2 linked regions of the Tamandua tetradactyla genome follow. The protein of the gene in region 2 purifies or fractionates together with the protein of the main gene of each other region. This does not show direct contact. Links are inferred from orthologs where the notes say so. Each region holds a gene or a part of one and is shown on either strand. Other genes may lie near its edges. The genes, in order: POLE3 and SMARCA1.

Region 1 (3,914 bases), on a different chromosome or scaffold from region 2:
GATCCCATGTTTACAAAGGTCTGACCCAGCCCACATGCCAGAACTGTATGTGGCATGTTCAGTGGGTTGCCAAAAGCACACTTTGAAAAACAAGCAGGATGAAACAGAAGTCATTACTTTTAATAAGAACCTTATTTTATTTATACAATGCATTATAATTTTTTCAAGACTCTTCACTCATTTATCAAGAAACCTTTTACTATATTCATTTAACAATGCCAACCTACACTTCACTACCCATCAAACTCTAAGCATTCAAGTCAGAGACAAACAAAAAAGTGCTTGGGGCACTGAAGGGAAAGAGAAAAAAGCTAAGAAAGACCAACAGAGATACTTTAAAAGTAGTTAAAAGGAAAAAAAAAGTAGTTAAAAGGAGACGCTTTGAGGGGGGGGAATTAGATTCCTGAGCACCATCAGATTTTCTTTAAGGTTCAGAGAGGTTTTACAAAATCATTTTTAAAAGACATGAAATTAGAACTAAGGAATCAGAGGAACCTGCACTTCTGGATATTAAGCAGGTTATCAAAGTTCCAAAATTGGAGAAAATGCGAGAAAAGGAGGGAGAGAGAACATGGAAATGGTAAATGGAGGAGAGATAGAGAAAGAGAGACAGAGAAAGAAAAAAGAAACAGAGGAAGAAAGTTGTACCTAGAGGAGATGAAGTTTGGAACTTGTCATGAATTAAAGAATGAAAGGCATAGTCACAAGTCTGGGAATAGACTGTAAGAGAAAGGCTGGAATTTTACACCTTCCAGGTGGTGAAGAGAAATCCTCAAGTTGTATAGTGGCAGGCAGTGAGGTGTAACCTAAACTAAGCCATCTATTGTGCTAAGAATAAGACACTGGCACCCTAGCTTGGTTAATTATCCTCTATACTGCTAATTTGAAAGCATATATGTCCAGAGTACAGCCAACCCAGTAAGTCGAATGCCTATAGGCAATGCAAAAAGGCTCCAAGCCAAGTGAGTCTGTAGAAACTAAGAATCAACTAATGCTACTGTCAAATGAAGAAACAACAGAACCAGTTTCATTTTTCTCCCATTTTTTTTAGTCTCCTAAAGTCACACCATTCTGATCCCTCTTAATAAGTTGGTATTGCCAAATACTGTATCTCAAACATAGGCTTATCATACTCAAAGCCCAAAGATTTCCTGAGCTTCAACTACCTCTGTGATTTGGAACACAGCAAGCAGCAAGGAAGTTATCATTACTTTGTTTCTGGAGGAGGAAATGAGGATCAAAAATGGCCTAACCATGTATATAACTAAACATGAGAGATCAAATTGGCTAATTCAATTAGCTGGTCAGAATTCCCCTTGTCAAAAAAGTCATAACCTTCAGACTGATTAAACAAAACAGGATTCTGATACTAAGATGCTCTGAGTCTAGGAAGCCCTGGTTTTAATGATAATTCTAGTCAGTTTTATTTCAATTTTCTTAGGCACTTCAGCCTAAGAGTACTCTGCCCAGCAGGGAGAAGCTTCACATAAACATGTACCACAGTTTCAGCATGGTACCTTCCAAGGTGCCTCCATCTCCCCACCCCTTTCAGTTGTCCACCTCCTCCTCTTCATTCTGCTCTTCTTCTTCCAGTCTTTCCTCATCTTCATCGTTGTCCTCATCCCTGCTCTTGTCTTGCTCTTCTGAATCTGTCTTTTTGTCTCTGTCCTTCTTCTTTTGCTCTGAAGCTTCCTTCTTGCCTTTCTGTTCCCGCCTATAGGCTGCAAGGAGGAAGGAGGCGGTTAAGAGGTAGGTTTGGAAGAGTAAACCAGACTTCGGCTGCTAACTCCATTCCACAGCTGGAAAAGCTGAGGCACTGAAGGAAAAATAACCCGCCCAACATCACAAAACAGATCTGAGATGGTGCCAACTGAACTGGTTCCAAGTCACATCCAGTATTCCCTTGCTGGACTTAAAAGGTACCCTTGCTGAGAAAGCCTCAGGGCCATGGATGATCATCTTCTAAGAGGCTGAAAAAAGGAAGGGTCATTACCTTCCAGAGCTTCTTTTAGGGGAGTAATGAACCGCTGGAACTCCATCTCTTCCATGGCCGAGAGCACGTCACTGGCGTTCAGTGTCTTGCGCTTCCCTTTCATAGCAAAATTGTTTGCACTAACGGAGGACAGGAAGAAAATGAGCTGTCAGACCCCCTCTTGCCACGCATGAAGTGGGTGGAAAACGAGCACCCTGAAGTGAGTGAGGAAACCTACGTTAAAGATGCATGACTTTTTGTTTCTCCCTTCCCTGTACCAAACGGCTAATGCGAAGTTATTTAAGAGATTGTGAGAACTGGGTAAGGGTCGTGAACCTCTGTCCAGGTTCACAGGTAGCACCCAAGCATTGGGGTTTATGGGCGCCGGGACGCTAAATCTGAGCCAGGGGGGTCTCTCTGCATCTCCCTAAATGCCTCAGCACTAGCTGTACTCTGGCTAGCTCTTTCTGCTCACCACGACGTGGCGTATAGTACGAAGACGCTGGCAGCGCGGGAGATGGCGCTCCGGGCCTCCTTGGAGATGTTGACACCTTCCGGGAGCTGTGAGAAGGGAGAAGTGAGCAAAGATGCTAGCCCAGACCTGTTTCCCTCCTTCCCGCTCGTCCGCCCCGGCCCGCCCGCTCACCGCCTCCTTGATGATTCTGGTGATGACAGCGTTGGGCAGGTTTAGGTCCTCAGGCCTCTCCGCCATGGCCGCCGCAGGGGCCCGCGCCTCCACCTCAGTTTTCCTCAGGGTGCTACTGCGTCCAGGCTTCCCGCGTCCCTGCTGTCTGACCCACCCAGGCTTCCGTTCCGCCCCACACGGTCCACATTGTATCCCATAGTGCTCTGCGCGTCATACCCACCCACTTACCCCAGCCACGCCTCCATGTCAGGTCGCCGTAGCTTCCGAAAGTTTCTCTCTGCAGTCATTTGGGCTCGCCGGACCTACCGGCAGGCCCCATAGTGCCCTGCGCCCTCCTCCCCTGTTCTGTTTCTCTGTTTCACACCATCACCGAGTCTGGAGGTTTCACACCAAATTGAGGATGGGTCATTGAGGCTTCCGTCCGTTCCCCATAGTTCTCCGCGCCGCTGCCTGGCGACGGCCCGACCGGGGGGCTGGCGCGGGAGGAAAAGTTGTGAACCCAGCCTCCTGGGCGGGGCCTACCCACGCCCGGCGCCGTACTGCGTTATTCCACCGAGTTTCGGGCTCTTAGCGGCTAGGCATCGGCTTTGGGCCAGCGGAGCCAGGCCTCCGAAGGCCGCTTCCTTTTCCCGAAACGAAGCGGAGGGTATTTTCCCAACTTTACCGTAGCTGACGTTTATCTTTAATTTTTTCACTTCGCGCAATTTTGTAATAATCATATTAATGATCATTGTTATCTAGGCTTTCCTGAGCGCCAACCACTTTGTCGGCACAGCGCTAGTGTTGATGGCAGAGAGATGGGTATGGTTAGACCTCGGGGGCTCAGTTCAGGGTGGGCAGGTAACCAAAGGGTGTGAAGCAACTGGGTGTGATGAAGATGCAACATGGCATTTAGCATTCGAAAATAAAACCTGTTAAAATTGTATTGGTTCTTTAGTACATTAAATTGTTCATCGTACATTTTCCCAGTCAAGAACATTACCATGGTTTTATAGTGGCGGTTTAAATTTTATCTTTAATTTTCTTAAACATGAAATTTAAGGTTTCCTGTTAAAAAACGTAGAAATAGATCTCACTCTCAGTGAGAACTAATGCTTGCTTATTATTATTTGGTGAAGCATGCTATCCTCTCAAGTCGGGTTTTTTGTTATTATGCTTTTGACAGAGACGAGGGTACAGAGGAGAGTTTTCCTATTATGAGAAAACCGGCAGAGCAAACACAATGATAAATGACAACTGAAATTGCTTCAGTTAGAGACTATAGGACCTGGCGAGGAACTGTCCACATGGTTATAG
Region 2 (3,914 bases):
GGCTTCCCATACCACAGAGAATAAAAGCAACAGCAAATTATGTGGGTGAGATTACTAGAAGGCACACTTTGTCAATGGGAAAAAGGAATGGCAAAAGCTCAGTACTGAAATCTGTGTTCCACTATAATAGCATCCCCTAATCCTCAGTGTTCAGGTTCAGGTGTTGATTATTTCCCTCTCCTGCTTCATCTTTTGAATTCATGTATTTCTCTGCTGTTTCAAATGATTTTATGGTTTTGCTTCATCTATGTCCCTTATCATATATTAACAAATTATTTCTGATAAAAGTAGGTGAGGTGTTTCAAAAGCAACAACCTGACAATTGAAGGAGGGGACAGAAAAACGATTTAAAAATCAATACCATACTAGAACGGTGTGGGAGGTGGTTAGTTAATTTAGGGGGAAAAACCTCCTAGTCCTCAGTTAACTTTTTATCATTGTCCGAATGCAACAACTTATGGTCATGAGGGAAAGGTTAATCTGTACTTTTAGTACACTACTTAAGGAGTCAAGGAAATATACAATATATTTAGATTTTCAAGGAGAAAGTTAAAAATAAAAAGATATTGGGCCTAAAATAGTAAACTTCCAACACCTCATTCCTCTATGCTGAGTAGATAAATGAAGTACCATCAGGGTAATTTCTGATGAAGGCTGCAAGAGTTCATGAATATCTGTATTATCTCAGTGCTTATTATATATATAGTAGTTTTTTTATTGATTCCCAGTCTTTTCACAATTCGAAAATGTGCATACAACCTGAAGATTCGACAACCTCTACTACCACAGAAAAGACAGCTTAGCACTTGACATTTGTTCAGTTTGGGGAATGAATAAAAGACATCTTTAGAATAAAGGCATTTCTGAATTTCCCAACATTTGATCTATACTGATGTGTGGTATCTGGCCCAGCTTCAATCATCAACATTGTCTTATTGATAGAAGTACCGCACAAATCTAAAAACGCACGTTTTCTACGTTGTTCACTTAGCACCACGACTGTTTTTCTGTTTACTCAACCCTGTAACAGTAAAAAATATCACTTCAGCAACCGCCGAATTTAAAATTACTCTTCTAATTCAAGGCTAAAGGTGTTAATTTCCCTCAAAAGCTTTTCATTTGGTTGTATAGCATTTAATGATTCAGACAAAGCCACTTGCGATCTCTAAGGCATAATTTTAATTACCTACCATTTTTATTGCAATATACTCATAAATGGAAAACAAACTCATAAATAGAAAACAAATCCACCCGTAAACGATCCATTCTACAATCTACTTATACATCAAAAATCCATATGCCCCCATCCTATGTTTTTTCTTTTAATCTCAATTTTCAACGCATTTCATATGAATATACATTACAGAGATAATACATGTTTTCTGAATCTGGCTTTAAATAGGCGCCAGAGCGGTCTCCAGTTATGTTAGCAGCAGCTCATCCTGGCGACGCCTGGTTAAAAAAAGGGGGTGAGGGGGGGTCCTGCGTGTGTCCACGAGCCAGCATCGCCCACTAGGAGAGAGAGGCGGAGGCCTGGAAGACTTGGGGCCCGACTGGGAGACCATTTGGGTGGCCCTGGAGTGAAACACTATACCGTTGGGGGCGGAGCAGGAGGGGGTGGGGGTGCAGACATTGGAAATTTTCCTAAACCAGCGTCCACGGTTCCTCCGTTTGGGGGTTGGCTTGGAGAGTACAACGCGGAGAACTCGTTTTCTTGGGGTGACACCCCTGCCTCAGCCGTCGGGGACCGAACGAACAAGGGATGATTTTTTTTCTTTTTCTTTTTCTGCCATCCAAAGGGCCGACATTGCCAATCCGAGAAATACATTTCTTCCCTATTATCCTCCGCCCCTCCCCCAACCACCAACACCTTCAAATTCAAATAAAAATTAAGACCCAGCAAACCACCCCCCCCCCTTTTTTTTTTTGCACGAGTGTGGGATTGAAGGGCCGAGATTTCCCAGGCAGAGGCCGACGGGAAGGTGGGGGGAGAAGGAGCGAGCGAGTTGAGAGGGCGAGGCGGAGGCGGAGGCTTTTTTCTGCACAGCCCCATCCCCCCCCACTCTGTTACCCCAGTTGCGGGAATGTGAAGGGGTCTGGGGGCTGTCCAGGGGCTCCCAAGTCCCCAAGCCCCGGGATAACGGGCGCCCCTCCACCGGGCGCTGCACCCCGCCCCCGCCCTCCAGCGGCGAGAAGGGAAGGGGGAAGGGAGCGAACGCTAGTCTGTTCCGCCGCGGCGCCCACCCGGCCCGCGGGCCCCGGCCGGGAGAGCTCCACGGGTACCTGTCGGCACCGAAAGGTCAGGATTTGGGCCCCTTGGAGGCGGCAGGCACAGGATTTGTTCACCAAACACACACCCCTTCCTATTTACCTCCTTCTTCTTCACGCCCTTCTCAGTGGACGCGGTGGCTTCGGTGGCCGCGGCGACCGCTCCCTCGTCCTTAGAAGTGGATGGCCTCGGCTGCTCGTCCTCATTGCCCACGACTGTGGCGGTCGCATCAGCGGTTGCCACGGTGGCTGCTACAGCAGCGGTGTCCGGCTCCATGGCGCTGGAGCAGGGACGGGGAGGGGGGCGGCGAAGGGGACGAGGGCTCCTGGGCGGCGGCAGTGGCTGCTCTGGAAAGCGCTAGACGAAGCAGGACTGGGCAAATCACTCGGCTTCCAACCCCTTTGCTCGACCCCCCTTCTTTAAATAACCCTCAACCCTGCCCCACTTCCGTCCACCCACCATACGTCATGCCCTACCCCCCCCCGTCACCCTCCCCCCTTCCTCCACACACACCCCCCTCAACGATCGCGAGACTCCCCCTCCCCACCCAGAGCCCGGGCAGGCCCCGCTCAACCAACTGTTGCCTGAGCGTGGTGTGCTGCGCTGACAGGGTTGGAGGCGGGAACCGAGAGCCCACCACCCCCTAAAAATCTTCTTTCCCAAACGCCCCCAACAGACAGCTGAACTCCCCTCGCACATGTATGCAAAAGGAATCCTCTTTCCCTCAAATCTGCTCTTTGTACCTCCAGGCGTTCTCCCTCCCTGCTACCAAGAACTTTTCCTCTGCTTATAACTGTACTGTGAAAGGTTTTCTCACCAGTTGCAAAACTCAGAGCCCCTCTGGAGGCTGACTTTTCCCTAGTCCCTAAACGGAGATGAGTGGTGCAATTCCCACCTTCCTAAATTCTGCAAAAGAACCATTCCTTGAATCTTTTGATTGCAGCTACAAATATTCACTTACAAGGCGACGTCTGTCGGGGGCGGGTGTGTGTGTATGTATGTTTTATTTTAAACTCTGGTATCCTCGGACGGCCAGGGTGCAGAAGCCCTTTTTTTTGCCTTCACCACTGAATTTTAAAACTCCTAGGGGCCAAGAGCAAAGTCCCACAGAATCTGGGATAGCACATGATAAGTACCTAAAACTTGTATTTGGATTGAATTACTGTAATTCTTTTGGAAGGGTTGCGTGTTCTATGTGCACCACCGTAATTATTTAGTAGGAATTCAACAATAATATATATGATCATAGATATGAAAGCATTTTGTAAAAGGTGCAACACTACATGAACATAGCTTTAAATATTATTATTACTATATCTCCTTGCCATTTATTTTGATCTGTAATGGGAAAACTTACATCCTAGCTTTCAAATTTCAGACATTAAGGACAAAAGATAATAAAACATATAGTAAACAGTATGCCAATCAATCACTACAAAATCCACAACTTCCACAATGAAGCAAATACTTTCCAAAGTGAAAAAAAACCATGATTAAACTCCCTCAACATACTTCCCTAAATTACCAGTCTGAAATGATGTGTGATTGCTGCAAACAGCAAGAAATCACACAACTGCCCCCCAAATGTATCCCTTTTTCCCTAGGGGTAATACCCTAAATTCCTTTTTTGCTTTACAATTGTGCA

What was found.
Region 1: the proteins of SMARCA1 (region 2) and POLE3 purify together in Homo sapiens (affinity purification with mass spectrometry; 3 studies listed by BioGRID and IntAct, with this or other methods). This does not show direct contact. The link is inferred for Tamandua tetradactyla from reciprocal best matches to the Homo sapiens genes SMARCA1 and POLE3.

Annotation. Positions count from the first base shown.
Region 1 is NC_135328.1:33,732,622-33,736,535, reverse strand, and holds POLE3 (DNA polymerase epsilon subunit 3), read right to left. Parts: upstream 2,817-3,914; 5' UTR 2,685-2,816; coding exon 2,619-2,684; intron 2,534-2,618; coding exon 2,448-2,533; intron 2,113-2,447; coding exon 1,994-2,112; intron 1,722-1,993; coding exon 1,549-1,721; 3' UTR 118-1,548; downstream 1-117. UniProt on the Homo sapiens protein: Accessory component of the DNA polymerase epsilon complex. Participates in DNA repair and in chromosomal DNA replication.
Region 2 is NC_135353.1:34,167,506-34,171,419, reverse strand, and holds the start of SMARCA1 (SWI/SNF-related matrix-associated actin-dependent regulator of chromatin subfamily A member 1), read right to left. Parts: upstream 2,740-3,914; 5' UTR 2,546-2,739; coding exon 2,372-2,545; intron 1-2,371.